Linked DNA regions of Canis lupus familiaris. The protein of the gene in region 5 purifies or fractionates together with the protein of the main gene of each other region. This does not show direct contact. Links are inferred from orthologs where the notes say so. Each region holds a gene or a part of one and is shown on either strand. Other genes may lie near its edges.

Region 1 (3,805 bases), on a different chromosome or scaffold from region 5:
CTCACCTTCATAGTTGATACAACCATTGCTGTCCTCATGCCCCGCCACCAGCATCTCTACTTCTTCCTCCGTCATCTTCTCACCTGCAGAAGGAAAGAAAAGCATTCTGGGATCTGGGTGGCAAGTGTGTGTCAGGTGGCACCTCAGCTCAAAGGAGCAAGGGCAGAGCCTTACCCAGCGTGACAAGAACGTGCCGGATTTCAGCACCCATGACGGTGCCATTCCCTTCCTTGTCAAACACCCGAAGGCCTTCGACGTAGTCCTCATAGGTGCCCTGGTCCTTGTTCTTGGCCACAGTCTGCAGCATGGGCAGGAAGTGTTCAAAGTCCAGCACCTTCACATTCATCTCTGCCATAAAGGAGGGGGAAGGAAAGTCACCCGGGTCCTCAGGACTGAGGAGACTACAGGGCTCCCACGGGGGCAGGGGGCTCCCACTGAAAGCAGGAGTAATCTGTGGGATTTGCTAGTTGAGACAAATGTGCTTGAGGTCTGGGCCCATGAAGATAAAGGGAAGCTCTTAGCTAAAGAACTGTAGGCCCATTACCACACTGAGGAATAGTTCCTGAGGACCCTCACCATCGCTCTTGGGGTTCCCCAGGACCTTGAGCACCTCGGCGTTGGTGGGGTTCTGGCCCAGGGCCCTCATCACGTCCCCACACTGGCTGTACAGGATCTTGCCATCCCCTGTTCGATCGAACAGCTGAAAGGCCTCCTTGAACTCTGAAGATTCAGACAAGATCAGCACTGAGCATGCGGGGGTTGACCCAAACCCTGCCTCCCAAACCCCCTCTGCCCAGTCAACTCTTGATCATGCTGAGGAGACCAGGTGTTTGTACCACTGTACGCCCAGGCCCGCTGAGAGGGATCTAGCGTCCCTGCGTCCCTGCTCAGGCGTTCCACATAACGACACGGCCTCCCCCTCCCCAGGGCTGAAGGGTAACAGCCACTTACACGCCCCTCTGCCGACAGCAAGCCCGCCCAGCCTCCTCACTACACTCAGGGCAGGAATTCGCCACCGCCCAGTCTGGGTCCTGTCCTTATAAGGAAGAGGGAGCAGCAGCCGGGGACCGGGGTCATCCCTGCCTGCCACTTCCCACCTCTCCGGTACAGACTTCTAGAGGGCACTGCTATGAAATATCCTCAGCAAATTCCCGTCCCCATTTTCACAGAATTCCAGGTCACTGCTTTCTACACTCTTCACAATCCCGGACTGGGCGGGGGGGGGGGGGGGGGGGGAGCTGGGGGTGGTGTTATCACAGGAGGAGGAAAGAGGCAGAAGCTGATTAAGGGACGGAGGAGCGCAGGCAACTTAATACACCCTCCCCGCCCCGCACACACCGCAGGCGTTAGGTGACCAAGTTGTCTCATGCCCACACCGCCTAACACTCACCCGGGGCTTGGGGCTCGGATCTAGAGTGGAAGGGGAGGGAGGAAGAAAGAGTGAGAAGAGAAAATGGAGGATGCCGAGGAGGGAGAGGAGACGGCAGGAAGTAGGTCCCGGGGGGAAGAGAGGGCCGGCCTGGTGGGGGTAGTGCTGGAGGCGGGGGCCCCTCTCCCGAGACGCGACCTCAGCGGGTCGGGGCTTACGTACCGGCGGTCTGGTCCTCGGTGAAATCACACTGCTCAGGGAAGAGGGGGGCCGTCAGCATCTCAACTGCAGCCCCCAAGCGTCCATCCCCGTCCCGCCAACTGAACCACTAAGTCCTGCTCCGTGCTGGGGACTCGCTTCCCGCCAGGACAAGACCCCCGAACTCTCCAACCCCGCCCCCGACCTGCCAGGCCCTCGGGTTCGCTCCGCAAAGCCCCGCCCCGGCCTCCCGCCTCGCCCCGAGCCACGCTCCGCGTCCCGGGCCCGGGCCCCACCATCGCGACGGCGCGCCTCTGCGGGACCCTCTCCTGCAGCAATGGCTCCGGCGCCCGGCCCTGCCCTAGTCCTCGTGCGTCCCCGTGACGTCACAGCGCCGGCCCAGCCAATAGAAACGGCGGCCCGGCCTTATGCAGATGAGGGCGCTACGTTAGTAATGAGGTGGGCGGGGCCTCCGCTCCTCCCTCTGGCGCCGCGCTCCCTGCGGGGGGCCGAGCTGCGGCGGCGGGTGGAGCCAGGCGCGAGGAATCGGAGGGTCGGCGATCCCGGAGAGGAGAGGCCGCCCCCCGTCTCCCCCCCCACCAAGAAAGCAGCAGTCGGACGCCTAGGGAGGAGCCGTCTCTTTATTTTGAAACAACAGGGGACCTCCTAGTGGCAGGAACGTGCTTCCATCGCCGGGGAGGGGCGCCGAGTCCAGCCCCACCGCGCCTGTGGAAACGAGGCAAGCTGCCGAGGGCGGTCGCTCGCGCGGCGCCGTGGGCTCGCCTTCCCGGCTCCGTGGCCCCGCCGAGGGGAGGGACGGAAGCTGCCTCGAGCGCAGCGGGACGGCCCTACCTGTAGGAGCTCAGACGCTGAGGATGTGCTTCAGGAAGGCTGCGGAGACGAGGCGGGAGGGTTCAGAAGCAGGCCCGGCTCCGGGTTCAGATAATCCGGGTCCGTCCCCCCCACCCGGACCGCGAGCCCCGGCCCCGCCGCTCCCGCCGCTCCCGCCGCTCCCGCGGCCCCTCACCTTCATAGTTGATGCAGCCGTTGCTGTCCTCATGTCCGGCCAGGACGGTCTCCACCTCCTCCTCAGTCATCCTCTCTCCTGAGCCCGACAGAACAGATCAGTCCCTGCCCACCCCCCCGCCCTTCCTCTTCCGGGCGGTGCCCCCCCCCCCCCCAAGCTTGGCGCCGAGCCGAAGCCCAAAGGAATCCTGGTAAGGGCCCCTCAGTGTGCCCTGCCTCTCCCTCCCACTGCACCTGCCCGCGCGCCTGGTCAACGCCTCCACGGAGGGAAAGGGGACGGGGGCCCCAGGTCACAGAGCGCAGGCCTCTCTCCCACAGCAAAAAGTCAGGCTTTCCACCTCACCCCTCTCCTCTGTCCTGTGGGAGGCAACTGCACCCCCTCCCCTTACCTTCGGGTTCTGCCCCAGGGCTCCGACCTCCTTAGCCCCTGCCCATGGCCTGTAGGGCGGTAATGCTTCCCGGCCCTGCCTCCGTGCCTACTGGTCTGGCCCCTGCTCCCCGCCCGCCCCGAGTTCCGTCCCTGCCTCACCCAGGGTGGTGAGCACGTGTCTGAGCTCCGCGCCCATGACTTTGCCGTTCCCCTCTTTGTCAAACACTCGAAGCCCCTCCAGGTAGTCCTCGTATGTCCCTTGGTCCCGGTTCTTGGAGACTGCTTGGAGCATGGGCAGGAAAGTCTCGAAGTCCACACGCCGGGACTTCAGCTCTGGAGGTTGGAAACGGGAGGGAGGGGTCACTGTAGTGTCACCTTGGGCCCAGCTCCATCCCTACCACGAAGCTTTTCATCCCATTCAACGTTCAGGATGTTTTTTTAAAGGTGTCTGACAGTGTTTGAAGTCCCAAGAGCCACCCCAGCATCCTTTGTCACCTTGCCACCATTCCTCGGTTCCACCACCACACTGAAAAACCGCATTGCTCCAGGCATCCCCCTCACCATCACTCTTGGGGTTCCCCAGGATCCTGAGCACCTCGGCGTTGGTGGGGTTCTGGCCCAGAGCCCTCATCACATCCCCACACTGACCATACAGGATCTTGCCGTCCCCTACTCGATCAAACAGCTCAAAGGCCTCCTTGAACTCTGAAGTACAAGGAGAGGTCAGTGTTGAGACCAGGGGTTCCCATCACCACCCCCCCACTCCACCCCTGACAGAAAGGAGGTTCAGAAACTCCGAACTAGAGCTAGGCAGAACAGAGGACACAGAGCACTAGGAGGAA
Region 2 (4,528 bases), on a different chromosome or scaffold from region 5:
CCCCACACTTGCTCTTTGAAATGCTATTCTGTTAACTGCTATTTCCTCTAAGCCTGTTATGCCTTTTTTCCATCTGCGTTGAAGTCTCTTTTCCCAGTGGGGCCTTTCTTTCTCAGCTTAGTCATGCTATGTGTGGAGACCCACATCCACACTGCTGGCCTCTCTGACTCATCCTGGGAGGCTTGCTTGCTCCAGGAACCCCACTCACACTGCGGTGGAACAACAGGGAGGCTCCAATGAAGCCAGCCCTTTCTGAAATCTGCCTCTTTTCCTGGCATCTCTTCTTCTTGTCCAAAGCTACATGAGAAGGAGAAAAAGCAAAAATGTCTTTCCCTCTCTTTAAGGTGACGCTTTTAGTAAATCGTTTTTAGCAATTCTAATTTCAAGTTTATAAGCTACTTTTTTTTTTTATTGCTGCTGCTTTTAAATATTTCATAATCTGGCTAGTAGAAAAACCTACTAATGCTCCAATTTTCCTTTTTCCTCTACCAGCAAGCCAAGAGAGTCAATTCTGACAGTTACATTTTCCTTCCCGTTACAGGTTAAATTGTTTCCCTTTTTGAAATAAATTATTCATAAATGTGCATAGTCTCTGAACTATGGCTCTTCCCAGCCCCAGATAGGAGACTGGGTAGGTGGAAATTGCTCATCTGCCCCATTGGCTGTTCTGGAGTTGTGCAGAACTGGGTCTTCACGCTATAATCTTCCAGGCCAGGATTTTCCTTGGCCCTCCCCACTCCTCAAAGAAAACCCTCTGCCAAGAATGGCTCAAGCCCATGATTTCCCAATCCAGATGGATTCGGACAATAAATTTCCCTGACTTAATTTGCTAAGAGGGTCAAAGTTGAATAATATAATGATAATCAAAAATTGATCACTGACTCAAATCTAAGTTTGGCCAATAGCTCATTCAGATGCCTTATTATTTTTTTTTAAAAAAATCACCAAACACATTCTGAAAATATAAAAAGGAACTCCAGCCTGAGTGTCTCATTAACTCGGGGAAGCCTGACCCAGGCAGTCACTAAAGAAGTGACTTTATATACCTAGCTAGGGGTGTCTATGGGAGAAATCCAGAGGCGCTCATTATTTTTGGTTGTGGAAATTAGCTTGGTCGTGCACGAGTACCACTTTTTCCCCCTCCAGTTAAGATGCTCTCTCTCCATATATGTGATATATAATATATCAATCTGAAGCATTTTTACCCACCTTATTATAGTTAAGAAAATAACTTGAGGTTACCCTGATTTGAGCTGGGACAACCTGCCCACTCGGTATCCCATAGATCATCGAGCCACAAAGAACTTACACAGTGACCTTACTTGCTTTAATTCTAGGTGCAATAGGGCGCCCCCCTTCGCTAGAGTTTAAGCCTGGGAACAGGCAAGAGGGTGCCCCGCAGGGCCAAGCGCCTCACTCGCCCAAGGAGCGCGGGCCAACCTGTCGCGGAGATCTGGAGGTGTGTTGGCCGGGGAGAAGTGGGGTTCTAGGAGGAGGGCAGTCAGCGAGATTCCAGCCGAACTAGCCGGCGGGGTGATGGGGGAGGGCAAGGTGGGGGGACTGCGGGGCCCCGCGTCCTCAAGCGCAGGAGGCAGCGCGCGCGGGCCCAGGTAGCGGAGGATGCTCGGAGCGCCCCGGGGCGGGCGGGGCCGCCTCCCCTACCTTGACCACGTCGTCGTTGAGATGCTTGGGGTCGCGGTTGACCAGGTCGATTTCCTTGGTGTGCGCGTCGTACACCTGCTTCTCGCTCATCTCCTCCGCCATGGCCTTGTTGTTGGGCTTGTAGATGTTGCCCTGCTCCCGGATGGGAACGGTGTAGAGGTGCCCCTGCGCGGGGTGGGGGGGGGACGGCGGGGTGCGGGAGGGGGGGGCGGAGATGGGAAGAAAATGTCAAAAAAGGCAATGCCAGAAAAAGGAAATGTCAAAAAGGAAATGTCAAAAAGGAAAACGAGCGGTGCGGCGGCCCTGGAGGTCGCCCGCCAACTGGCCGCTCGGGCGCCGCCGGCGCTTAAGAGGATGGAGGCGAGGACACCACACCCCTCGGTGCCCGCGGGGAGCCCCGGCCTCCGCCGCCCGCCGCCAGGGGTCAGCGCGCACCCGCGCCGCCCCCGCCCGCGCCCGCCCCGCGCGCCCCCCAGCGACCGCGGGGACCCGTCCCCGGCTGCGGGGCGCCCCTCCCCCACCCTGCTCTCCAGAAGCTCTCCGGCGTCTCCCTCGGGCCCGCTGGAGCCCCCGGGACCCCCCGGAGGGGCCCCCTTTCTGCCCCTTTCTGCCGCACCTCCCCGACACCTGCTGGCTCGCCGCACTCTCCGCGCCCCCCGCCCCCGCGGGGCTCAGCGTCCCGAAAGCGCCCGTGTCGGGAGCAGCGCCCCCCGCCCCCCTGCAGACCGCCCCGAACCGCGACCTCGCACCTGCCCGGCGCCCCCGACCTCCCCGACCTCCCGCAGGTCCCTCCTAGGCCGCCGGCGGGGCGCGGGGCGGAGGGCGAGTTTGGGGAGCGAGATCCCCGCGCGGACGAGGGGTGGCACTGGGAGGGGAGGGCGGGCAGGGACAGGAGGGGAGGGGAGGGGAGGGCAGGTCCCCCCTCTGCAAACACCCCGCCGGGCGCCGCGATGCTGGAAGGGTTCTTGAGGCGGCCCGAGGGCTTCGGGCGGTGCCAGCCGGTCCAGGCGCCTGGCGGAGCGGCGGGGACGGTCCCCCGGATCGCGGGGGGATGGCGGCGCACCCCGCGTCCCCGATCGCAGCCCCCCAGCGCGCAGGGGCTGGGCCGTGCGGGTCCCGACCTAAAGCAGCGCCCCGGGCCCGCCCACGACCCAGGAGCGTGCTCTGGTCCCCATCTCGGGACCCCGGGGCGCCCCCCGCCCCCACTTTCAGCCTCCCTCTGGTTTAGGGCCCGCCGGCCCCCCTTTCCGAAGAGCAGCCTGGACGACATTCCTGCCCCCTCTTCAGCTCCCCGCCCAGGCCCATTCCTCGGAGGTGCCCGCGCCGGGGGAGCGCCCGGCGGCCGACCGCGGGGGGTGGGGTGGGGGTGGGGTGGGGGTGGGGGCGCCCCGGGGGCTCCCCGCGCGCACCCCGCGAGCCTACCTCGGAGTCTACGTATTTGCCCCCAGACATGCTGGCCGGTGGCTGGGTGAAGGCTCCGAGGTTTCCCTGGGCTGTTATTCAAGGGAACCGAGGAAGGAAGATCTTGTATTGTGCAGGGGGGGGGGGGGGGGGGGCGGGGAGGCGCAGGCGGGGGGCGGCGGCTGGGAGGGAGCCTGCTGGCCGCGGGCCCGGGGCTTGCCGCGAGCGCCCGGCCGGGACCTGCGCGCCGGGTCCGGGCACATCCCCGGGGTTCGGCGGCGCGGGGCGGGGAGCGCGCGGGGAGCGCCCCGCGGGGGTGGCCTAGACCTGGGGCGCACGTCCCCGGGGGGCTCGCGGCGGCGTCCTGCGGGGGCGCGGGGTTGGCGCGGGGCGTCGCGCTCCTCCCCGCGCTCCTCCCCGCGCATCTGCCCGCGGAGAAGCCGCCTCCCCGCCCCCATCCCCGCCCGCCCAGCTCTCCCCCACTGTCACCGGGAGGAAAGGGACGAAAAAGGGCGCAGGACTTTTGGGCACGATGCGCCCCCGACGGCGAGCAAGCACACGTGCGCGCGCGGTGCAGGTGGCGACGCGCCGGCTCACACCTGGCGGCCCCGGACAGGACACACAGACACGCGGAACTCCAGTTTCCCCGCCGCTTCTGAAAGCCCCCCCTGCCCTGCCCCCCAACCCTCTGAAGCAAACGAGAATGGCAGGCTTCGCCCATCTTTCTGGAACTTTCTGGAAACTTATGCCCACACGTTGTGCCACATTTCCAAAAGACGTAAAAATATTTACAGTTGTAGGAATATTTAGTGGGAGCTTCAAGTTTGTCATAGAGGACTTTTTCTTTGCACTTTTTCTAATTTTTTTTTCTATTTTTTTTTTTTTTCTAATGCACTTGCCCGTGCGTTAGAGGAGACCCGGTTCTTCTAGGAACCGATCTGAAGTTTAACAAATCGTTAGCAGTTATTTGCAAATGTTTTCTCTATTCCTGAATGTGCGGCTGCTATCTTTTTATAAAGCGTACGCCTAAGGTGAATGGAACAATAAGCAGTAGTTTTACATCTGGGCTATGGAGAAGTCAAGAAGTTCACTGTCTTTTGGCCTGTGGCTCCATATGCAATCAGAAGGAGAACTAGAGGGGCGGCCCGGGTGGCTCAGCGGTTTAGCGCCGCCTTCAGCCCAGGGCCTGACCCTGGAGACCCAGGATCAAGCCCTGCATCAGGCTCCCTGCATGGAGCCTGCTTCTCCCTCTGCCTGTGCCTCTGCTTTTCTCTCTCTCTGTGTCTCTCATTAATAAATAAGTAAAATCTTTTTTTAAAAAAATAAAAAGTAATAATTAAAAAAGTAAAATTAGAAAAATGATTTTAAAAATTTAAAAAAAGTAAAATCAGGACTTGAAATAGAAAATCTGACAATCTATCTGAAGGGGCACAGGTTACAGGAAACATTTTGGTGGTCTGTCCAT
Region 3 (3,918 bases), on a different chromosome or scaffold from region 5:
TGATGGCCATTTCTAGAAATCTTCACTCTTCAGCTTCCAAAGATGGCTGCATGTGGTTGGCTGATGGCAGACTGCAGGTAGAGTCCCTTTCCTGTGGATGGTGTCATTTCTGTTGTGCAGCAAGTAGTCAACAGCCCTGTACCGTGTAGCTATGGGAACTTGAGACGCCCCCCCACCCCAGTATGAGAAAGAAAAAGAGCTTAGCAAGCTGGGGGATTCGAGCTTCAAGTGTGCTTTCTAAATAACATTTGCAAAACCCACATTTATAGGCATGCGTCAAATGTATCTGGAAGACTACCTTGACCAGACCATTGGCCCTCTGCCTCTCTTTCCAGTGATCTTTCCCACCTGCCCAGTTGCACCTGTCTTGGGGAGAGAGAGGGGTGGGTTGCACTGTGCTGACTTTCAGTTGTGCTGAATTTGCATGAGTTCTGCTCTTCTGTGACCCTTCTAAACCTGGTTTACCGCAGTTCTAATTGTTGAGACACTTACAAAGGTGATCGTTGGATTTAATAAGCCACTTTAGTAAACTAGTTCCAAATCCTGAGCTTCACTAGCAACCAGCACACAACCACTAGAAGTGTCCATTCTTTCTGGATATACAAACTGGACCAAGAGCACATTTCTGCAAATAATGCTTCAAGGCTGAGGAATATTACAGCTTCTCACTGCATACCTGGTAGAGCAATAAAGTGAATTAAAGCAGTCTACTAGGGCATGATAGCTCCTCAATGCAGATTGTTTTGAAGGATGAGAAGTCACAAGTTGAATATGCAGGGTAGATAAAGTAATTGCTCACAGTCTATATTTTCAAAAAGGAAGCGAAGCACACACATACTAGTTTACACATCGCTTCATATGGTTGGCTAAAAGCACTGGGGAAATATAAAACTTACATACGAGGCAGAAGGTTGGGGGCGAAATCTATCATGCACTGGGGAGAGATGATCAACTCTGCTGCTGAAGGGGAAGATTGTCTAGTGCAATTTGCTAATGGATCTGGTATTGGCATGGATGACCGGAGCTTCTGCCCCATAGAGTTAAAATGTAAACGCACACAAAAGGAATAAGGGTGCTACTGTTTTCTTGGCCTTATAGACAACACAGGACAGTAATTTTTTAAAAAAGTGTGCATTGAGGGGTGGCACATGATAGTCCAGGGAAGGTGGCTGGGTCACCGGGCAAATGTGCTAGTCTTCCATTCACCCTACCCTAGTCATAGCTCAAGGAGCTTTGTCTTCCTTAAATTGGGTACAGAGGGGCTTCCAGATACAAGAAAGCATGAGAGAAAAAGTCAAGTTCACATTTACTAAGCCATGGCCAGCCACTTTGATATGGCATCCAGCCCCAAAAGAGTGATGGGGCGGGGCGGGGAGGGGAAATGGCTGGTTGAAGAGGCACTATGAATTGAAGGCCATCTGAAGACCATGTAAGTCATTTGCCTATACTAGTTTTCCTTTTCTTATTGAATGGAAAAGACTCTGGAGAGACTTCCACCACCACTTTCACTTTTACCCCTGTCAGAAAGAAAACAACCAACCAATAACCAAACAACAACAAATACTCAAGCAAACAGAAAGCAAACAGAGAGACAGAGAAAGAAAGCAAGAGCGAGAGCGGGGGGAATGGGAGGGGGGGAGAGAGGACTGACTCAGATACAAAATAAAAGCCAAGGAAGTGAGCAAACAAATCATTCAGCTGGACATTTTGAGATGCCCCGAAGGCACGTCTACCCAGCTGCACAGTGATAGTTATGGAAGAATGGAGGTCTTGCTACTAGATTCAGCCCGAATACACTCATCAGTTTGCTTCAACAGCCTCCGGACCAGCTTTTCTAGGTCCCTTCTTGATTTCAGTTCTTCTTCCAGGCATTGCTTCATTCTTTTATTTTCCTACGATGAGAAAAGACTCATTAATTCCCAAACTACGTGGCCCCTTCCCAGGGCTCCTCCTGTTCCTCCTCTTGGCAGCTTTCACCACTGACCACTTTCCTTCCTCAGACTCCTCTCCTTCAGCTTTTAGGACAAGGCAGCCCCCTGCTTCTCCTACCTTTCTCTGGCCAAGCCTTTGCAGTCTTCTTGCTTGCAGTCTAAGCGTCCTGTACAGCACTGGCCCGGGCCCTCTTCCAACTCAGCTCTCTTTTCACCTAATGTCTCTTCTTCAGCTCAACTCAGGGGCCTCCCTAATCCCTCTGACACCTGACCTCATCTCATCTCACGAGCACTAGGTCCACAGTCCCTAGTGTCAAGTTGATATTTACAAGCACTTCAGACTCATATCCTAGAGTGAACTCAGTCTCTCCTCTGTCACCCCAAACTTCTTTTCCTCCTGTGGTTCCTGAGTTCGTGAAGGGCACTGCCCTATCCAAGTAGGTATCCATGTAAGAAGCCTCATCTTCAATCTCTGGCTCTCCCTCTCAGTCCCAACATCACAGCATCAATTTTCCATAGGCTCTAACTCTACGATGTGCCTTCCTTTACATTTGTTTTCCTTCTCTGCAGCCTCAATGGCACTACCTCAGTTCAGAAATCCACTGTGTCTCACCCTGAGTTTTGTGACAGATAATCTCTGTTCTCCCCCCTCCAGTCCATCCTTTACCCCGTCACCAGGTGCAGCCAGTCCCCAAACACCAGGAAGTGTGCATCATGGAGCACTGGATCACATCTTCAGAGGAGCCCGCAAATCAAGATTTATGGTTCTCTTTATACTTACACACTCGTGGATGACTTATCTTTTCTAAAATTCTGTTTACAAATGTCAGAGAACATGAAAGTTGTAACTAAGTATTGGGAACCTATTGTAAACCGCTAAATAGGTATATGAGCAAGCCTAAGAAATTTAAACCCAACACTACATGGCAAAATCAACAGAACTCACCCTGTAGAAATAAGAAAAATCCCCACCTCACCACCTTGTTCCTATTATATGACCCAAGAAAATCAGTTATATATTTCATTACCTGTTTCAGTTCTTTGACCTCATCCTTCAAGGCATACACAGTATCAACAAGACTCCTAGAACATAAAGTTCAGAGATTCATAGCTGGTACTGAAACACTGTCACATAAAACTTAACCATAAAAGCCACTTTCAAGAAATACAGATCCTGAAAAACAGTGGCCTTTTTTTGGGGGGGGAGCTGGTTGGGAGAGATACTGCTACGAATGGCCCCTGTGGTCTCTATTTTTATGGGCAAACCACCACCAGCCCACATGCTCATTTGAATGCCATGTCATTACACCTTTACTATAGTGCCCTCCTCCTTGGCCACTTACTTCCCAGCTTGGGGGATTTACAAAAAAAGAGACTAGAGCTCATCGCAAGGTTTTGACTTTCTTAAGAGCAGGAATGAACATCACATAACATATAATGAGGGGTGTCATGAGGCCCTGCTTATCCTGTGCTATGGCATTGCTGCTCTCACCTCTGTGACCCTACGTGACCCTATATGACACAAAGTCAGGGGCATTCTTTCTGGAAGGTCTCATCTGTTCCAAAAGAGGATAAAATGCCCTGCCTGACTCGTGGAACAGTTAATTCCCAGATGGCTCTCTCCCTGGACAAGAATTCTAGAGATCTGGGTTCCAGGTCTGACCCTACCACTTACTATCCTCCAGCCTTGGGTAATCAGGTTCTTTCTCCTCTCCTTGCCTTACTTTCTTCGCATACAAAATGGGGATAATACCACATTCCCCACAAACTTCACAAAGTTGTTGTGGGGATTAATATAGCTCTCTATAACTATGTGCCAGCCTTTATACTTATTATTCCATTTAACTTCACAATAAACCTTAAAGTATTACTATCATACTTATTTACAGATGGGGAAATGGAGGCACAGAACGGTAAAGAGGCTGGCCCCAGGTCACACGGCTAACACGATGCTGAATTTGGGCTTGAACCAGGACTGTTCTCTTGA
Region 4 (4,623 bases), on a different chromosome or scaffold from region 5:
TGGTATAGTTCAGGGTTTTATGGAGCCTCTACTCGCTAAACCCAGAGAAGAAACAGTAAAATTCTATAATCGACAGGGCGAGGACACTACATTTTCCTTCCCCAGACTTCCTGTGAAGAGCTCACAGCACTATTTGCAGTGTTGTGTGGACAGGAGCCCAAAAATCAAACCACTACCAGAAATTATGTATTATAGGGACACCCGGTGGCTCAGTGGTTGAGTGTCTGCCTTCAGCTCAAGGTGTGATCCTGGGGTCCTGGGATCGAGTCCCACATGGGGCTCCCTGCATGGAGCCTGCTTCTCCCTCTGCCTGTGTCTCTGCCTCCCCCCCCCACCCGCCGCCGTCTGTCTTGAATAAATAAAACCTTAGAAAAAAGAAATTATGTATTGTAATACATCATACAGTCTCCATTTGCATGAATAACGTGTATTACCGGACACTGAGTAACACTAAATACTAAAGTGTATTCGACTAGATTCTTCAAAAAACTATGAACCTGGTAGCAAAATTACAAAAAAGTTCATTTTAAGGACTTAACAGTCTCCTTTATTAAAGCCTTAATATTTTAGGGTGACCATAAAATCTGGAAACTATCAAACACTTTTCTTCTACTCAATGACCAAAGAATGTCAGCACTTTGTGAGCTGGCAAGACGCAAATGGGAGTGATTCCAACAAGCAGGCACACCACTCCATTACACCAAAGTTGTGAGAAAAGTTGGACAATCATTTCCAGAAAAAGTGGCAATGTGGAGTGTTCTTCGTGGTTGTAGGTTGGATAGAACCTCCTTGGCTGCTGCTTCTGGGGTGTGCTAAATCCACAGGTACATTTGACAGAAAATCAAACAAACATCACAAATCCATCTGTGTCTGCATGTAAAGATGCTGCATTACTCCTCCTCATTCACTACAACTTTTTTTTTTTTAAGATTTATTTACCTATTCGTGAGAGACACAGAGAGAGGCTCTGGGGGGGGGGGGGGGGAATGGACACATGGGACTGGATCCCCCAACCGGAATCAGGCCCTGGGCCGCCCAGCCGTCCCCATTCACTGCAACTTCTGCACAGCACATTGAATCAGTGAGAAATGATCCACCAAATACATCGGCTTTAAAATGTATCAAAAGCTGGGGGGTGGGATCCCTGGGTGGCGCAGCGGCCCAGGGCGCGATCCTGGAGACCCAGGATCGAAGTCCCACGTCGGGCTCCCGGTGCATGGGGCCTGCTTCTCCCTCTGCCTATGTCTCTGCCTCTCTCTCTCTCTCTCTGTGACTATCATTAAAAAAAAAAAAAAAAAAAAACTGGGGGGTTTTCTGGTGTGTATTTGCCTCCTTTCCAGACTCTGCGGTCATCGTATAACTCGGCACAATGAAGCCAGCTGCCACTGTTCGGGAGCTCGTCACATGGAGGAGACTGTCCCCGACCTGAGGTCCACAGCAGTGACCGCGGCCTGCGAGGTTCCCCCAAGTGCAGTGAAGGCTGCCAAGCCCTGGGCCCCGGGCCCGCTGGGGGCCGCCACCGCCATCCCCGCCCCGCACCGCGCGGAGGCTGCATCTGGCTCCTCGGGCTTCTTCCCCGCTGCCTGGCACCCAGGGCCGCACTGCAGAACCCGCTCCCCGTCCCGGGCTCGGCCCGCCGGCCTCGCGGCCCAGGCCTCGCAGGTGCCCCCGCCGTCGCCGCACGAGCCCGCGGGCAGAACAGCCAGCAGCCCCGGACCGCCGCCCGCGCAGACCCAGCGCCGCCGTTGTTTGTTTTAAAGGAAACACTTCCTGGCACAAGTTTAGCGAAGACTATGGACTCTGAGCACGCAGACACGTGGTTGCGGCTAATCTGCCCCCCCCTTTCCGAGCGGCCCCCGGGCTGCTCACGGCGGACACCCCGACGCGGGTCACGCGGGCTCCGCGGGCTCCGGGGCCTCGCCAGGGCGGCCGCCGCAGGGTCGCAGGGCGGCAGAGGGACAGCAGCGCCCGGGGAGGAGGCACCGCGGCGGGGCCCGCCTCCCGCTCAGGTGCAGGCGGGGCGGGGGCCTCCTGCCCTGGGGAGGAGGGGGCGGGAGGGACGCCTGCCCTGGGGGGGGGGGGGGGGGCGGAGAGGGGGCCGCCTGCCCGAGGCGGGGACGGGGTAGGGGCCTCCTGCCCTGGGGGGGGTGCGGAGTGGGGGCCGCCTGCCCTCGGGGCGGCGCGGGGTGGAGGCCGCCTGCCCTGGGGGGGCGCGGTGCGGGGGCCTCCTGCCCTCGGGGGGGGGCGCGGTGCGGGGGCCGCCTGCCCTGGGGGAGCGCGGAGTGGGGGGCCTCCTGCCCTCGGGGGGGGCGCGGTGCGGGGGCCGCCTGCCCTGGGGGGGCGCGGAGTGGGGCCTCCTGCCCTCGGGGCGGCGCGGGGTGGAGGCCGCCTGCCCTGGGGGGGCGCGGAGTGGGGGCCTCCTGCCCTCGGGGGGGGGCGCGGTGCGGGGGCCGCCTGCCCTGGGGGGGCGCGGTGCGGGGGGCCGCCTGCCCTCGGGGGGCACGGGGTGGGGGCCGCCTGCCCTCCGGGACGTGGGGGGGGCCCGGGGGGCACGGGGGCGCGGGGTGGGGGCCTCCTGCCCTGGGGGGGTGCGGGGTGAGGGCCGCCTGCCCTGGGGAGGCACGGGGCGGGGGCCTGCCCTCGGGGGCGCGAGGGAGCGCGGGGTGGGGGCCTCCCGCCCTCCGGGACGCGGGCGCGGGGCCGCGGGGCCGCGGGGCGCTGGCCCTGCCCACCTGTAGCAGCGCAGACCAACTTTCCCTGGGAGCGGGAAGGCTCGGGCCGCTCACGCCACCCCCCGGCCCCAGGCGGTAGCGGCCCGGGGCTCCGAGGGCTCCTCACCTGAGGGCCCTAAGCCCCACCTGGCCCGCGGTCCGCGGCCCCCGGGCTCCCCGGGGAGGCCGGGGCCCCCGCTGCGCATCAGGACTCGCGGGGCGGGAGGACGCGGTCGCCGCCTCCTGCAACTTCGGCTGCGAACTTCGCCAGCGCGCAGCCGCTGCCCGCCCGCCGCCCGCGCCCGGCCCCCGGTCCCCCAGCGCGGCCCCCGGGGAGGGGCGCCCCGGGAGCGCTCCCCGAGGCCGCGGGTACTTACAGCCATAACGGGGTCTCTGCAGGGCCGGCGGCTCCGGGGCGCGCCCCCCGCGGCTCCCCTCGCCGGCCAGGCTGGCGGGCTCCGGGCCCGCGGGCGCGCTCGTGTCCGGCCGGTCGCCGCCCTGCCCCGGCCGCAGCGACATGGGCTCCGGCGCTCCCGGGTCCGCTCCCGGGTCCGCTCCCGCAGCCGCCTGCGCCGACGCCGACGAGCGAGCTCCGCGTCCCGGGCAGGTCTCCGCTCTCCTGCCGCCGGGCCCCGTTATCCCCCGGGAGCGCGCCGCGCAGCAGCGACCCCTACCGCGAGCCGGGCGCCGCGCGGGAGCCGAGGGCCCGCCCCTTCCCGGCCGGGCGGAGCGGGGGGCGGGCGGAGCGAGGGGCGGGGGCGCTGCGGGGGGCGCTGCGGGGCGGGGGGCTGGGGGGGCGCTGCGGGGCGGGGGCGCTGCGGCCGGCCGCGGGCTTCTGGAGAGTTCCGAGGGTGGAGTGAGCCCACGTGGGGCAGAGCGGGAAAGCGCGGGAGACGCGGGCGCGCTTCTCTGCGCCCCGGGGAGGTGGCGCCGTGCCTTCTTCCTTCCTTCCTTTCCTCCTTTCTTTCCTTTCTTCTTTTGCTTTAACTTCGAAAGTTGCTTCTGCGACTCTTTGTCTACAAAATACAGGGCTCCCCGTTCATGACAAACGGGGAGTGCGCGAGTGTCGGGAGAGCAAGAGGAGCAGCGCCCCCCGCCGCCCCCGGGGACCCTCTCCCAGGCGGGCTCCCAGCACAGCCAGTCCCGGCCGAGGCCGGAGGGCACTAAACGGCCCGAGGCCCCCTTGGAAGGGCTTTCCTAACGCGGTCGCGGTGGCCGGCGCGGGCTCTCCAGGGCTCCCCCAGGGCGAGCACCGCAGGAGGTCTGGGGGACCGTTTTATTTTTTTATTTTTTTAATATTTTATTTATTTATTCATAGAGATGCAGAGAGAGAGGCAGAGACACAGGCAGAGGGAGAAGCAGGATCCATGCAGGGAGCCGGACGTGGGACTCGATCCTGAGACTCCAGGATCACGCCCAGGGCTGCAGGCCGGGGCTGCCCCTGGGGGACTGTTTTAAACCCATGCCTCACCTGTTTGGGGACTGTCAGAGGCGTCGGTGACCACGTGCTGGCAAAACAAAGTAATTGCGGCAGCGTGTGAGACTCTAACTGGAGAGAAAGTGCATCGTGACCCTCCTGAAGCACGCAAAGACGGGCCGGGGGGCTCCCGTCTCACGGCGGGAGGGGGGGGGGTGCGGCCCTTGAAGCTCAGCCCCGAGGGCCCCACCCTCAGAGGTTCCAGTTCCTCGGGGGTGCTCGGGAAGTAGCATGTCTAACCAGCTGCGGGGGAAGCTGACCCGCAGACCTGCGGCCCCTGCAAGAGCGCTTCAATAGAGGGTAGGCACGAGGCGGTTGGCTTGGCCCCAGGGACATCCCACCCAGACAGGCCGGAGAGGCGATTCTCAACCACTCCTCTCTTTTTTTTCTTTTCTTTCTTTTCGAGAGCCATTAGATTCTCCCCTGATCGGGATG
Region 5 (3,918 bases):
ACAGCAGGCATTTTCTCTTCCTCTTCTTGACGGGAGGGGGGCAGAGAACCGCTCGAATAGCTTCATCAAACACTGTCTTGAGGCCTCGCTGCGTGAGAGCAGAGCACTCCAGGTATTTTACAGCACCTGCCGAGAAACACAGCCTCATAGCCACATGTGGAGCCCACCCTTCTGTCCAGGAGGAGGGCAGGAAGCAGCTCCCCAGGCCCAGACTCCTGACAGCCCGCTGGGCACAGCAGAGCAACCCCTGACCTGCACCCGGAGCTCACCTACTGAGCGCTCACACTGAGAGCTTTGCCTGGCTGGCTCCCCAGAAGTCAACCATAGCCTGAGTCAGAAAAACATGCTCTTTACTTCCCACAGACTGGACTCCTGTCTCTGCCATGAAAATAAAAGCACGTGCAAAGCAGATGTGAAAATGCAGATTTCCTACCGATCTCCTTAGCCATGGCCAGACCCTGTGGGTAGGTGATGGGAGTCAGCTTCTTCTCCTTCAGTTTCTCAATCGTGTCTTTGTCGTCCCTGAGATCAAGTTTAGTCCCCACCAAGATGATAGGGGTGTTGGGACAGTGGTGTCGCACTTCAGGGTACCACTAAATGTAAGAGAGGAAGAGAGTCACCACACCCTCCCTGATGAACCTCTTTTGCCTAAATTACATCCCCACAGGTGTCAAACTGTCAGCCACTCCTTAGTTGCTGCAGAGTCCTCAACAAGACACAGCATCCCACCCTTCAGCCCTGCTCACCTTGCAATACCTTCCAGAACCACGGGCCTACCTGTGGGCATTCGAATAGCAAGCTGGGACTCCCAAGAACAGGCAAGGAGGGAACATCCCCCTCCCCCAAACCACTACCTCTTGGTAAAATGAGTTAAATTCTTAGATGGTCTCTTGAGAAACCTCCCTATTCAGCAAAAAAGTCAACTATCGACTGAGGTCTCAGCTCTGCCACCATGAGCCCCACTGAACACATCCCTGACCACAACTGGAGGACATCCTGCACATGTCATTTTTCACAAGTGACCAGGGCAGCAGTGGAAAGTCATGGTCACTATTTTTATTAGACAACCCCATCAGGCAGACTCCAAAGTGCTCACTACTTTAGCAAGGAACAAAGCGTTTCTGAATCAGGCCCTGAAACTTCAGAACTCTACATAATAAAGTCATATACTTCAAAACTGATTTGCTACCTAAGTAGAATTACAACATCAATTTAAATAATTAAAACTCCTATCACCAAGTGTTATTTTTGCTTCCCAAGGAGACATTACATAACAAGATGTTCCTCTAAAACATTCCCCACTTACCTTTGCTCGAACATTTTCAAATGATGCAGGACTCACAAGAGAAAAGCAAATTAAGAATACATCCTATAAAAAGGAAACAGGGAGGCGTTTAGAAATGGTCTTACAATGATGAATGCACTTTGCTTTGTAAATGCTGTTGGGAATGAATCATGAGACGAACTGCGTATATGTACCAGCAGCTTGTGTCTAAAGCTTGCTTCCTGGTTCCCCCCTTCAGTTCTGTCAGAAGGCTCCCAAACCAGAGCCAGCACATGAAGCAGCCAGTTACTTCTGAAAGGGGGGAGAGGATTTACTAGAATGTGCTCAAATTTACTGGAGGCCAGGGGGGACCTCAAATCAGAACCCCCAGAGGCTTCTTCTCCATCATTTCCAACTCCCCCTGGGAATTTATCCCCTCCACCCCGGAATTTAATGTTCCTATTATATATAGGGACAAAATCAAGCTACCACTCCAATATTTCTGTAAAATGTGATCTCCATTTATCAAAAGCAGAGTTGATTTTAAAAACCTTTATCAACAGTGTGCTTTTCAGTAAACTCCTCATGTGCACATTAAGTACATGTATAGTGGACCACTGGGGTGCAATTAAACTGCTGCTTTAAGAACTGCCACCAGAGTCCCTTGGCCCGGAGTGGGGCTCAGTGGTTTGCTCAGTGAGCACAACCACTGTGCAGAAGGGCAATCTTGTGTGTAAGTGGCCTCTCCTGGCTATCAGCTTCTCAATCCCAAGTGGGGTTCTCTGCAGGACTTAGAGCGTGCGGCAGTGGCAAAGTGGAGATTCAGAGGAAAAGTCAGTGCAGACTAAATACCTGGAAGATTTTCTGACTGAATGTAAAACATATCTCCCATTCTGTATTGTGTAAGAAGCCAAACTAAAATATTTACCTGTACTTAAAAATGCTTAAGAGTTTCTAAAATGCTAGGTTTATAAGACATTTTCCTGGAAAAAGGCAGCTATGCTTTGTGAAATGTACCCAATTCCCAAGCTAACACTTTCACCAATCCAGCTGATGTCTTGTACCTGGAAAGGGAGAGAAACATCCCACACAACAGCTTTTTTAAAATGACATTTTCCAAACGCTAGCGCATGCACAGGCTCGTCCAAGAATCACCTCGGCATTTTGGCACCTGATTACGTCACTTCAAAGCAAAGGTGGGTTAGCTCACCAGCACCGCACAGCCATGCCGCAGACAGGCCCGCACACCGGATACCACAGCGGAGGAGGCCCTGGCAGCCACGGTTAGTCCCCCTTGGGCTCAAGCATGGGCTCCATGGTGGGCTTGGGGCAGGGGGCTCCACACCTTCATCTCCAACCCGCCTGAAGAGGCCCCTTCATAAAAGTTCCTCCTTCCCCTTGGGAGGAGGGGAGCAAGCAGTTCACAAACCACTTTAATTCAAGCTAGTAGGTAAACTGTCTCGCTCTACTGAAAGCACATTTTATCAAACAAAACCCCAACCTTGAGTGAATTAAATTTAAAACACTCAAGGAACATGAGGCTCAACAGGAAATTCTGGGAAAACTAAGTGAAATGAGAGAACAGATAAAGCTTGAAACTGAAGTGGATTGAAAGTTTTACATACGGCAATCAGCTTGTCTTTGCCCCTGGAGGGTATATCCTTACCATACGTTTCTCCAACCTAGTAATGCATGAGAACTTTGTCTGAGTTTAGTAAAAACTGAGGAAAATGCAAGTCAATATAATCCATTATTTCTTCATCAGAATTGTCTCAACCCTCCTAAAGGATCTGAAAGCAACTGACAAATACCACCAAACAGTTCATCAAACCCTGTGAAGGTCAACGAGGGTGAAGACAAGATGTCAGGCAGATATGGGGAAGGAGGGGGGCACTCCTTTCTAGCCATGGCAGCGCACAGAGGGTGTGCTTCCAGCAGAAGCCACAACACGCCTGAGAAAGCACACGGGTCACGTCCAGGTGAGAAAGGTTAAGGAAGCACCCTTCCTTACCGAAGGGGTATCCCTGTGCCACTGCTGGCTCCCACTGGCAATAGGCACACCTGTCACAGCTCTCCATCCCAGGTCTGAGACCTAAGCCCAGCTGAAGCCGCCGCACGCAGGAAGAGCACCTGTCTGTAAACACAGGCCTCTCAGACGAAGCACTCCCCAGGAGCACGGCCCAGTCAGAGAGCTGTGAACACGGCCAGCCTCCTGTGTGCAAGTGCTGGTCCTCTCTTCCCCCAAATCCTGGGAATGCAGTTTGGATTTAGGGGCCTGAATTACTGGAGTAAATGCACTGAGACCTTTAATTCCCCCCCCCCCCAGCTTTGGAGGGGAACGCCCAGAAGGGACAGCATTTCTCATGTTTACCACAGTGCCATCAATTCATTCCTTTGTTCCGACAAAAATCGGAAAGACTTGCTCTTCAAGCAACACAGAAACCTACAATTTTTTTTAAGAGACAGATGGACAAGAGAATTTTTTAAATTTCATCTCATTTAAGTCTCTCTGATCTACAATTCTAACAACATGAAAGTTGCCCTAATTATCCTGGGTTTAATCTATGGGCGACTTTTGAAGATCTGTGCTCCCAAGGCCTTGACATGCCACCAAATATTTATTGTGACACAAAAACTCCTGGGCATTGGCCACA
Region 6 (4,425 bases), on a different chromosome or scaffold from region 5:
TTGTAACAAATGCGCCACTCCTGCAGATGCTGACAGTGGAGGCTGTGTATGTGTGGGCACAGGGGTTACATGGGAAATCTCAGTCTTCCTCCTGATGTTGAACCCAAAACTGCTCTAACAAAACAAAGTCTTAGAGAGAGAGAGAGAGAGAAGAATGGACTCTTGTCCTTTTGTATTGGTGAGGGGGTAGGTGCCTGGGGTGGGCAGGGTGGGAAAGGGGGACCAGAAGGGGGCAGCCATCTGCTCACCGCTTGGCCTCCTCCAACCGGCACAGGTACTGATAGGCCACATTCTGCCGCCTCTGCTCATCCATTTCCTCAGCTGTGAGGCGTTCATCTGAGGAGTGAGGGTCAAGGTGAAAAGTGTTAGACAAAGGGCCAGAGTGCTGAAGTGCTTCTCAACAGACTTTCTTGGGCAGCTCTGCCCAGAGACCACTCATACGTCTGTCCCCCTCTTCCTAACACCCCTTGCTCCAATCTTGGGCCCCCATCTCGTAAAGCTGCCCTGGTCAGGACCCCTTCACGGGGAGCTCCTTTCTTTTTCCCTCCAGCCATCTCCTGACCCCTCCTTTCTGTCCGTCCAGACCCTTCTGTGGCTGGGAACGTAGTCTCTGTGTTCTCCAAGACCTGGCCCGTGTCATCCTCCTCAGGCACCCTCCCAGAAGCTGGGGCTAACAGGACCAACTGGGACTCATCATCCAATCTCCATGCATTCGTACCCTACCTTCTATCTGTCAGGCCCTGGGCCAGTGGATCCTTACAGATTAGCATTAGAAAAGAAAAACGTGTAAGTGACAAATTCCAACCTGAAGTGACAAGTGTGATTACAGCCACAGACATGCAAGCAGCAGAGGAGACAAAGGGTTCTTCCCACCAGTAAAATCTTAAAGAATGAAGCAGGAGGGGGCAGCTCAACAAAGAGAACCATGTGGAGGGCAGCCCCAGTGGCCCAGCGGTTTAGTGGTTTAGCGCCACATTCAGCCCAGGGCGTGATCCTGGAGACCAGGGATGAGTCCCATGTCAGGCTCCCTGCATGGAGCCTGCTTCTCCCTCTGCCTGTTGCCAGGGAGAGGCAAAGAACGTCTGTCTTTGAGGCAACACGTAATGTTAATCCCACTCTTTCCCTTATTTCCCTATATTGCACATCCTGCAACATGATTTGGACCAGGGGCGGGGCTTGTTGGAATTGGCAGTTAAGCAAGTTCACACACACGCAACGTCTCTGCCTCTCTCTCTGTGTCTCTCATGAATGAATACATAAAATCTTAAAAAAAAAAAAAAAAAAAAAAAAGAGAACCATGTGGAAAAGGAGGGCACTCCAAAAAAAAAAAAAAAAGAAAAGAAAAGGAGGGCACTCACTTCGGATGAAGTAGGACAGAGAGTCTTACAAGATCACAAGGATATCTTTACTTTTTTTGGTATAAGTCACCTGAGGAGGAAAACAATCTTCACACTAAATAAAATGCAGACAATAGGCTGACCCCAAACGTGAGAGCGGGGAATCCCCTAGGTGAGTCAACATACTATTCCGCCTTAGCCTCCACCTCCCTTCAACCTCCCCTTCTCCCATCTCCCACCTCTGGAGTGGCCTTCTGGAAGACAATACAAAATCAGATTGGGGGGGGGGGGGACGCCTGGGTGGCTCAGCCTTTGGCCGGGGGTGTGATCCCAGGATCTGGGATGGAGTCCCACGTTGGGCTCCCTGCATGGAGCCTGCTTCTCCCTCTGCCTGTGTCTCTGCCTCTCTCTCTTGCTGTGTCTCTCATGAATAAATAAATTAAAAAATCTTTTAAAAAAATCAGATGGGGGGAGAGAAAGCTGAACATGTACACACATGAGGAATAAACAGAGGGCTCGGAAAGAGACACGTCTGTCTTTGAGGCAACACGTAATGTTAATCCCACTCTTTCCCTTATTTCCCTATATTGCACATCCTGCAACATGATTTGGACCAGGGGCGGGGCTTGTTGGAATTGGCAGTTAAGCAAGTTCACACACACACACACACACACACACGCAACGTCTACAACCGTTGGTTGCTAAGCATGGAAAATAAACAGTAAGCAAATGACATCACCTCGGAGTTATGAACTGAGGGCTGTGTGAGACGGGCAGGGCTTCCTCCCTACACACACACTTTTTGTTTTTTTTTTTTTAAGATTTTGTTTATTTACTCATGAGAGACACACAGAGAGAGGCAGAGACACAGGTAGAGGGAGAAGCAGGCTCCCCGCGGGAAACCCGATACGGGACTCTCTATCCCAGACCCCATCATCACACCCTGACCTGAAGGCAGACGCTCAACCGTTGAGCCACCCAGGCGTCCCCCACACAGTCTTATTTAAATTTTTTTTTAATTTTTAAAAAAAATCTTCCTGCGCTTCACAGGTCTAGAACTAACTTTCCTTCAACAGATCCGAGAACAAGGACTTTGTTTTTTTGAGCCCTAATGGCAAGAAAGGGGAAGGGGTGGAAGAAGATTTTGCCTTTGTTCAGAAGGTCAGGCAGCAGCAGCCTTTCTGCCGTCCAATCCTCCTGACCCCACTGTCTTTCCAAAACAGTGTTTTTGCAAGTGTGGTCCGCGGACTACCTGCACGGTTACGTGCGGTGAGGCAGCAGCACAGCAGGGCTTGTTACCAATGCAGACGACGGGCCCCGACCCAGCGAGCTGGCGCTGCGACACAGGGCTGAGGAGCGTGCCGGTCACTTCCGGTCATCCCCGGCACACTTCGAGGGCCACCGTCTCCCCCGCGGCATCGGACGGGAGTCCCGGCCCCTGGTGGCTCCCTCCCCGCGCCGCGCAGGCCCGCCCCCTTCCTTGGACCCCCTCCGTGGCCCCCTCTGCACTCACACAGCGCCGAGCCCGCGCCCGCTCTCCGCGGCTCCATGTTCCTCCTCCTTCCAGGTTTGAATCTCCCGCCGCCGGGCCGCCGCCCTCGTCGTTGCAGCAGCCCGACAGAACTTCCGGCCCGAACCGCGGGGGCAGCTGGGATGTGTAGTCCAGACGGTGCAGGCGCAGGCACGCCGCCAGGTGCGGAGAAGGAGGTGCTGCGGCACAGTGGGAGCGGCATCTCCCTCTCCGCGCGGCGGTGGGCTGCTGTTCCTCTACGGATCCTCCTCTACCCTCTCCTCCATCATTTGCCCTAGTGTTCTCAGGAACTCCGCTGCGCCTCCTGTAGCGTTCTTGGCTCCCGCTAACTTGCGGGCCAGCTTGCGTGAACTAGATGGTGCGGATGCAGAGAGAAATTACCATAGTTAGGAGCGCCTGGCTGGCTTAGTCGGTAAAGCGCGCAACTCTCGATCTAGGGGTTGTAGGTTCAAGCCCCGCGTTGGGTGTAGAGATTGCTTAAAAAATAAAATATCTTAAAAAATCAGCATAGTTGATGCCCTATATATAACTTGCTATTCTGGAATGAGTGACAGTCAAAATACATGAGAGGTCAGCGATATTCAGAGGAATGAGGTCGCTACAGCAATGAAGTTACTACGGTAATGAAGTTAAGGGCAGCGAAGGACAGGAGGACTTTCTAGTGGAGGTGATAGCTGATGTTTGTTGGAAAGGGAACAAGACTTCATCAGCCTGAAGGAGAGAGGAATCTTAGCGCAAACAGCACTTGTGACCAAGGAGGGAGCCCAGGAAACGAAAATTGGTGCAGTTCTGTAGGTGAACAGAGTTCGGACAGGGAGAGGCGGGAAGAGCACCTCTAGAGACACGCTGGCAGCAGCTGCAATGCCAGACAGCAGGCTGAAGAGCAGGATGCGGTCTGGGGAGCAGCCACAAGCTCAAGAACACTTTACATATAGGTGGAGTCCCGGTTCACATTTTACAAAGATTCATTTTGCAGCAGGGGCTTGGAGCCAGGTGACACTAGGGCCAGAGACCAATCCAGAGTGTATGGCAGCAGCACAGGTGAGAGCTAGTAAGGCCTGAACTAGTCAAAATAATTATAATGACACCTGTCCTAAAATTTTGTTTTGCTATATTACCTAATGGGCTTCCCCCACCTGGTATTTCTCCTTTAGCCCTCCCTCCCTCCTACCAGTGCCCCAGTCAAGCTGCAGCCTATGCTCATAGCCTCAGGGGAGGCACCAGAGGGGTAGAACACAGAAATCATCCAAACCTTCCGAGGAACAGAGGAGATGCAGGGCTGAGACAAAACTGTGGGAGTTGTGGGGTTTGTAGAGAGTGGCTCCCCTTTGCTCACCACGCAGGAAAGTAGAGGGAATCTAGACTGCTGGTGATAGAAGCCCACTCCCTGCTTTCTGGAAAGGCCATGGGCCTGAGACCTGACAAGGAACAGTTGCTAACAAGGCCCTGATGTACAGAAACCCCGACCCCAGCTAGAAAGGAAGTACATGGACGAGCTACCCCCATTTCTCCTTGGGTTAAGGGCTCCTGGGCCTGAGAGGGCCAGATGGAGAGTAA
Region 7 (4,183 bases), on a different chromosome or scaffold from region 5:
AAAAGGCTGCTGTCAGTGAAGGGCCAACTCCATGCCCAGCTTCAAGCACAGTGGCTGGACTCACTGTCACTCCTTGACGAAATACCCACCCAAATGAGTGGACATTTACAGCTCAGGTAAAGAGATTTGTTGTTATAAAACAAATGTTATTTGTTACAAAAGTAATTTCCACATACTTTTGTTGTGTAACAATCATCATTAACTTTCCACTTTACCAACTACATCCCTAAAATAAAAGAATTTTGTTGATTATTCAAGCAAAGTTACTGAGAAAAACCTCCAACAGAAGGTCTACAAACAGATGTTTTGGCATTCAGAGATGAAAAGGAAGGGGTGTGCAGAGAAATGTTTCCTCTTGACAACCTTGAAGATAAAGCAAACACTCATCTCCTAATAAGTTCTATCTTCTCACCTTTGCTAAAGGGATCTATAGTAAGAACCCTACATGTTCAAAGTAGATCTTTAAAAAGCCAGCAAGTCCACCTCCTGTGGCAACTCCATGTAAACAATGGGTCAGAGTAGCCAAGGCAGGGCAAGAACCCCCAAGTGACAGGAGGGAGTGAGAAGAAGAAAACACCTGAAAAACTAGATGCGTCACAAGTATAAATTGGCAGAAAGACAAACATATTTGGAACTGACAGAAAGCAGTCTTCATGAAGGAAATACAAATTCACTCTCAGAGACAAGAGTAGTGAAACACAGAAGAGGTATTTATTCTGAAAGGGCCAGTAAAGCTGTAGACTGACAAAGGATTTGTTCTCTTTTGTCTCAGAAGTTGTTATGGCTGCTTTCGTTCACATGCACTTTGTTCAGAAGTCATGGTGATATGTCAAAGTGGGCCAGATTCCTACTCATCTGCATTAAAGTCCTAGGATTATTTCACTGTTTTACCTGGAAGTACATAAAATTCATCAGTTTTGTGACCTCAGGCTCCAGGACCTCGACGGTTTTCTCATAAATTTCCACTCTATTAGGTTGCTCATTACATTTCACCTAGGAATAAACAAGTATGACATAAAGAGGCTTCAACTTAGCTAGAAGTGAGAGGGAAGGTCATTGTTAGGTCATTGCAGTCCCAGCCTGCTGTGGCGTGGGATGTGGGAGGGAGGGTAGGCTGGTGGAGTAGGGGTGTGGTTAGGCTGAGATGTGGGGGGAGAAGGGTAAGAGCACTGTCTGACTATGGTAGGGGCATGGTCAGCAAGAATGGGTGCGCCTGGCTGGGGTGGGGACACCTGTGGGATGGCCCGAGAGCAGCTCCTCCAGGTGTACAGCATGACCGCGTACTCTTGGCCTTCTTCCAGCATTTCATTCTGTAAGGGTACACAGGGCAAATCAGCAAGCAGGAAAACAATCATAAAAACGGAGATGCCTTGTTGCTAAAATCCAGAGGCAATCCTGACTCTCACTCTGAGGTACAGACAAGTACCAGGACCTGTATGCCACGAGGCAGCTGCTAAGAAGTTGGTGATGCTGCAGTGTAGCACTGTGGCCATAATGACCTCCGGAAACACCCCCATGGCTTCTGTGGGCTGGAGAGGAGCCAACACAAACCTTGGCACCTGCCACAGCCGCTATTCCTCAACTCCGCTCTATCCAAAACAACCAGCTGGCAGTGCAGATCTGAAGTTGAGCACAGATGCCAGCATAGTGCAGATGTGCACAGGGTCAAGGCCTTACCACCAGGCTACAGAGAGCCTCTGGGCTCCTAAGACTGAGGCAGCTCCATCATCCCTAGTGTGTAGGAGGAAAAGCTACAAGTATTTCTGTAGCACTTAAAATCCAGAGAACAGTATCCATGCAAAGAGGACTGCCATAATTTTTTAACTGCTGTAGTGTTTACTCTTTTCACATTGTTTCCTTTGGTAAAAATGGTAAAAAGCGCAGAGATGTTCTAAAAATGTCAACTACAATTTCATTATGTTCTTAAGAGGCTTTAAAATGTTTACAACTTTTGATCTAGTAACTTCACTTATACAAATCTAGCCAATGGGAATAATGATGTGTTTGGAAAGATATTCATTATTATATTTTTTATGACAAAGAAAAAAGGGAAACTAAACATGCAAAAATAATGAAATTGTGGAAATTACAAAATGGAATAGATAGCTATTAAATATTACTTTAGCTGGCACATTTTGACATATGTCATATGAAAAGTTCATGAAATCATTAAAATACGTAATAGCAACACAATTCATTCATGCAATCTGAATCACAGTTGCGTATATAACTGCATGCATGAGTACAGGTATAAATGATAAGAGAGAATGGACTCCCTCAAAATGCTGACAGAAGCTTCCTTGCTCAATTTCTTGCTTCAATTTTCAGAAAGAACATGTATCGTTTTTATAATAAAGAAAACAAAGTCTTCTCTAAAAACATAAGGCATCTTCATCCACTTTCTTCTCTTTTTCCTTAGTATATATCATACTAAGATAACACCAAAAAGTGTATATTTGCCATCACTAGTAGTATTCCCCCAAGGAAAACAAAAACATGCAGAAGGAATTACCATGCTAGAATGAACAGTCGCTTGTTCAATATATCTTGCAATACCAGTAACAAATGCATTTCTGTCTTCAAAGTTAGTGTTGAAATTTGGCTGAAAGGAAGAGAAAAACCATCATGTGGAGGTCAGCACTGCAGGCAGTACAACCTACTGCTGTCCAGCACAAACCTGGTAGAGGAGTGAGGATGGTGGGGGCTCGATGCAGGGCTGCTGGTCAGGCAAAGGCAGCTCTTCCAAGAGGTCCACATTGGATAGTGCATCCTCCAGTGTCACCTGGGCCGCCATCTTGGCCTAGAACAAAACACAGCACAAACCTGCACTGTGAGGAAGGGTGGAGATACTGACAATCATTCCAAGGTAGGGAAATCAGACCCCCACTTGCCTGATCCCTCTCTTGAGCAATGGGGATGGCTGACGTGGTCATGACCAATCCCTTGGGTCTGTTGTCTCTCTTAGGACTTGCTGGCAAAGAAGTCATGATGTAGCCTCTCCTGGCCTCCAGTTGTGTCACAGTGGCACATGAACCACCACACATACCTTTGCTTCCTGTCACCCTTCCCACCTTGGAGCCATCATCCCTACTGGGCTCTCTGGGAGGGTCTGACAACCTGCTCACTGGGCCAGAGGAGGGAATGTCCTCTTCAACACCACTGCCCCAACCACTTCAACACCTGTCTGCCCCAAGGAAGCCAGCACAGCCTCCAACCTCCAAGGGGGCAAGAGTGCTTCCCTGCAGATGGACATTTCCCAAGTGGTTCTTCTATGCAAAGCAACACACTAAGGAATAGAGATGGAGAAGGTCAGAGCCCTTCTTCCTCCAGCAACTGCCTGTAGGGACTACTAAGGTGGGGGCCAAGGGTCAACATGAAAGAGGGAGGGGACTGTTAGCACAGGACTGACAGCACAAACTCCAAGGCCAGTGCAAGAAAGCACAAAAAGGGGGTGGATGTCATCTAAACACATCTGTGGCAGCTCCAGGGGAGAGGAAACAGCACATTCCAAGCCTGCCTCCTTCAGAATGCTGCTCCGACCCTGGATGGGATACAGGGAGTAGCAGCTCCATCCTCAGACACAATACACCAAGCAGCCCTGACTCTGGACACGCGGAGCAGCTACATGCATTGTGAAAAGGAAAGAGCAGCAGGCAGGCTGGTGAGAACACTAAATGGAAGAAGCCCTCAGTTGCTCCTCCCAATACTGGGCGCCAGACAAGGTGTCAGTGTAGAAGTGCGTGGTGAGGAGAGTTACTAAACCCCCAGCTACTGGCTGGAAAACCAAAAAGGGAACCCCAGAGCACCGGAAAGCCCCAGGGACAGTATGGAGAGGAAGAATCTCAGAAGAATGAGATTATAAAGTTGCTAATGAACTCTGGGCCCCCACCCCTAAGCTGTAAGTGCATGAATCTGATCCTCTCACACTCCAATCCCTGAGATCACAGCCAGCTCCCAGATGGCCACAGGTGGCACACACAGGACAGACCCAAATGGCACTCTAGAGGCTCTGAGAACAGAACTGACATTGAATCACACCCCAGAGAAGGAGGTGTCAGAACCACAACCTACATTGAACCAGGTGGTTTGCCTGCTAAAATAAAAAAAAAAAACAAAAAAACAAAAAAACACAATAGCATTCTCCTAGGACTTCAGACCTAGAGTTCCATTTCATAATATCCAA

The links.
Region 1: the proteins of RAC1 (region 5) and MYL6B purify together in Homo sapiens (affinity purification with mass spectrometry; 3 studies listed by BioGRID and IntAct, with this or other methods). This does not show direct contact. The link is inferred for Canis lupus familiaris from reciprocal best matches to the Homo sapiens genes RAC1 and MYL6B.
Region 2: the proteins of RAC1 (region 5) and CAV1 purify together in Homo sapiens (affinity purification with western blotting; 4 studies listed by BioGRID and IntAct, with this or other methods). This does not show direct contact. The link is inferred for Canis lupus familiaris from reciprocal best matches to the Homo sapiens genes RAC1 and CAV1.
Region 3: the proteins of RAC1 (region 5) and ARHGEF6 purify together in Homo sapiens (affinity purification with mass spectrometry; 3 studies listed by BioGRID, with this or other methods). This does not show direct contact. The link is inferred for Canis lupus familiaris from reciprocal best matches to the Homo sapiens genes RAC1 and ARHGEF6.
Region 4: the proteins of RAC1 (region 5) and IQGAP2 purify together in Homo sapiens (affinity purification with mass spectrometry; 5 studies listed by BioGRID and IntAct, with this or other methods). This does not show direct contact. The link is inferred for Canis lupus familiaris from reciprocal best matches to the Homo sapiens genes RAC1 and IQGAP2.
Region 6: the proteins of RAC1 (region 5) and IQGAP3 purify together in Homo sapiens (affinity purification with mass spectrometry; 3 studies listed by BioGRID and IntAct, with this or other methods). This does not show direct contact. The link is inferred for Canis lupus familiaris from reciprocal best matches to the Homo sapiens genes RAC1 and IQGAP3.
Region 7: the proteins of RAC1 (region 5) and CYFIP1 purify together in Homo sapiens (pull-down; 3 studies listed by BioGRID and IntAct, with this or other methods). This does not show direct contact. The link is inferred for Canis lupus familiaris from reciprocal best matches to the Homo sapiens genes RAC1 and CYFIP1.

What each region holds. Positions count from the first base shown.
Region 1 is NC_049231.1:828,368-832,172, reverse strand, and holds the end of MYL6B (myosin light chain 6B), read right to left. Parts: intron 3,669-3,805; coding exon 3,525-3,668; intron 3,297-3,524; coding exon 3,123-3,296; intron 2,673-3,122; coding exon 2,595-2,672; intron 2,459-2,594; coding exon 2,430-2,458; 3' UTR 2,420-2,429; intron 2,294-2,419; exon of another isoform or gene 2,191-2,293; intron 1,998-2,190; exon of another isoform or gene 1,867-1,997; coding exon of another isoform or gene 1,864-1,866; intron 1,620-1,863; coding exon of another isoform or gene 1,592-1,619; intron 721-1,591; downstream 1-720. Other genes in the region: MYL6 (myosin light polypeptide 6), read right to left, coding at 6-83, 175-348, 577-720, 1,592-1,619, 1,864-1,866. UniProt on the Homo sapiens protein: Regulatory light chain of myosin. Does not bind calcium.
Region 2 is NC_049235.1:55,589,114-55,593,641, reverse strand, and holds the start of CAV1 (caveolin-1), read right to left. Parts: upstream 3,115-4,528; coding exon 3,085-3,114; intron 1,828-3,084; coding exon 1,663-1,827; intron 1-1,662. UniProt on the Homo sapiens protein: May act as a scaffolding protein within caveolar membranes. Forms a stable heterooligomeric complex with CAV2 that targets to lipid rafts and drives caveolae formation. Mediates the recruitment of CAVIN proteins (CAVIN1/2/3/4) to the caveolae.
Region 3 is NC_049260.1:107,986,037-107,989,954, forward strand, and holds part of ARHGEF6 (rho guanine nucleotide exchange factor 6), read right to left. Parts: intron 3,015-3,918; coding exon 2,960-3,014; intron 1,893-2,959; coding exon 1,752-1,892; 3' UTR 1-1,751. UniProt on the Homo sapiens protein: Acts as a RAC1 guanine nucleotide exchange factor (GEF).
Region 4 is NC_049224.1:30,384,102-30,388,724, forward strand, and holds the start of IQGAP2 (ras GTPase-activating-like protein IQGAP2), read right to left. Parts: upstream 3,153-4,623; 5' UTR 3,089-3,152; intron 1-3,088. UniProt on the Homo sapiens protein: Binds to activated CDC42 and RAC1 but does not seem to stimulate their GTPase activity. Associates with calmodulin.
Region 5 is NC_049227.1:11,837,252-11,841,169, reverse strand, and holds part of RAC1 (ras-related C3 botulinum toxin substrate 1 precursor), read right to left. Parts: intron 1,370-3,918; coding exon 1,307-1,369; intron 594-1,306; coding exon 434-593; intron 127-433; coding exon 1-126. UniProt on the Homo sapiens protein: Plasma membrane-associated small GTPase which cycles between active GTP-bound and inactive GDP-bound states.
Region 6 is NC_049228.1:41,365,267-41,369,691, reverse strand, and holds the start of IQGAP3 (ras GTPase-activating-like protein IQGAP3), read right to left. Parts: upstream 2,963-4,425; 5' UTR 2,888-2,962; coding exon 2,851-2,887; intron 2,748-2,850; exon of another isoform or gene 2,590-2,747; intron 756-2,589; exon of another isoform or gene 724-755; intron 337-723; coding exon 249-336; intron 1-248.
Region 7 is NC_049224.1:32,055,169-32,059,351, reverse strand, and holds the start of CYFIP1 (cytoplasmic FMR1-interacting protein 1), read right to left. Parts: upstream 2,801-4,183; 5' UTR 2,795-2,800; coding exon 2,678-2,794; intron 2,603-2,677; coding exon 2,513-2,602; intron 1,311-2,512; coding exon 1,233-1,310; intron 994-1,232; coding exon 892-993; intron 1-891. UniProt on the Homo sapiens protein: Component of the CYFIP1-EIF4E-FMR1 complex which binds to the mRNA cap and mediates translational repression. In the CYFIP1-EIF4E-FMR1 complex this subunit is an adapter between EIF4E and FMR1.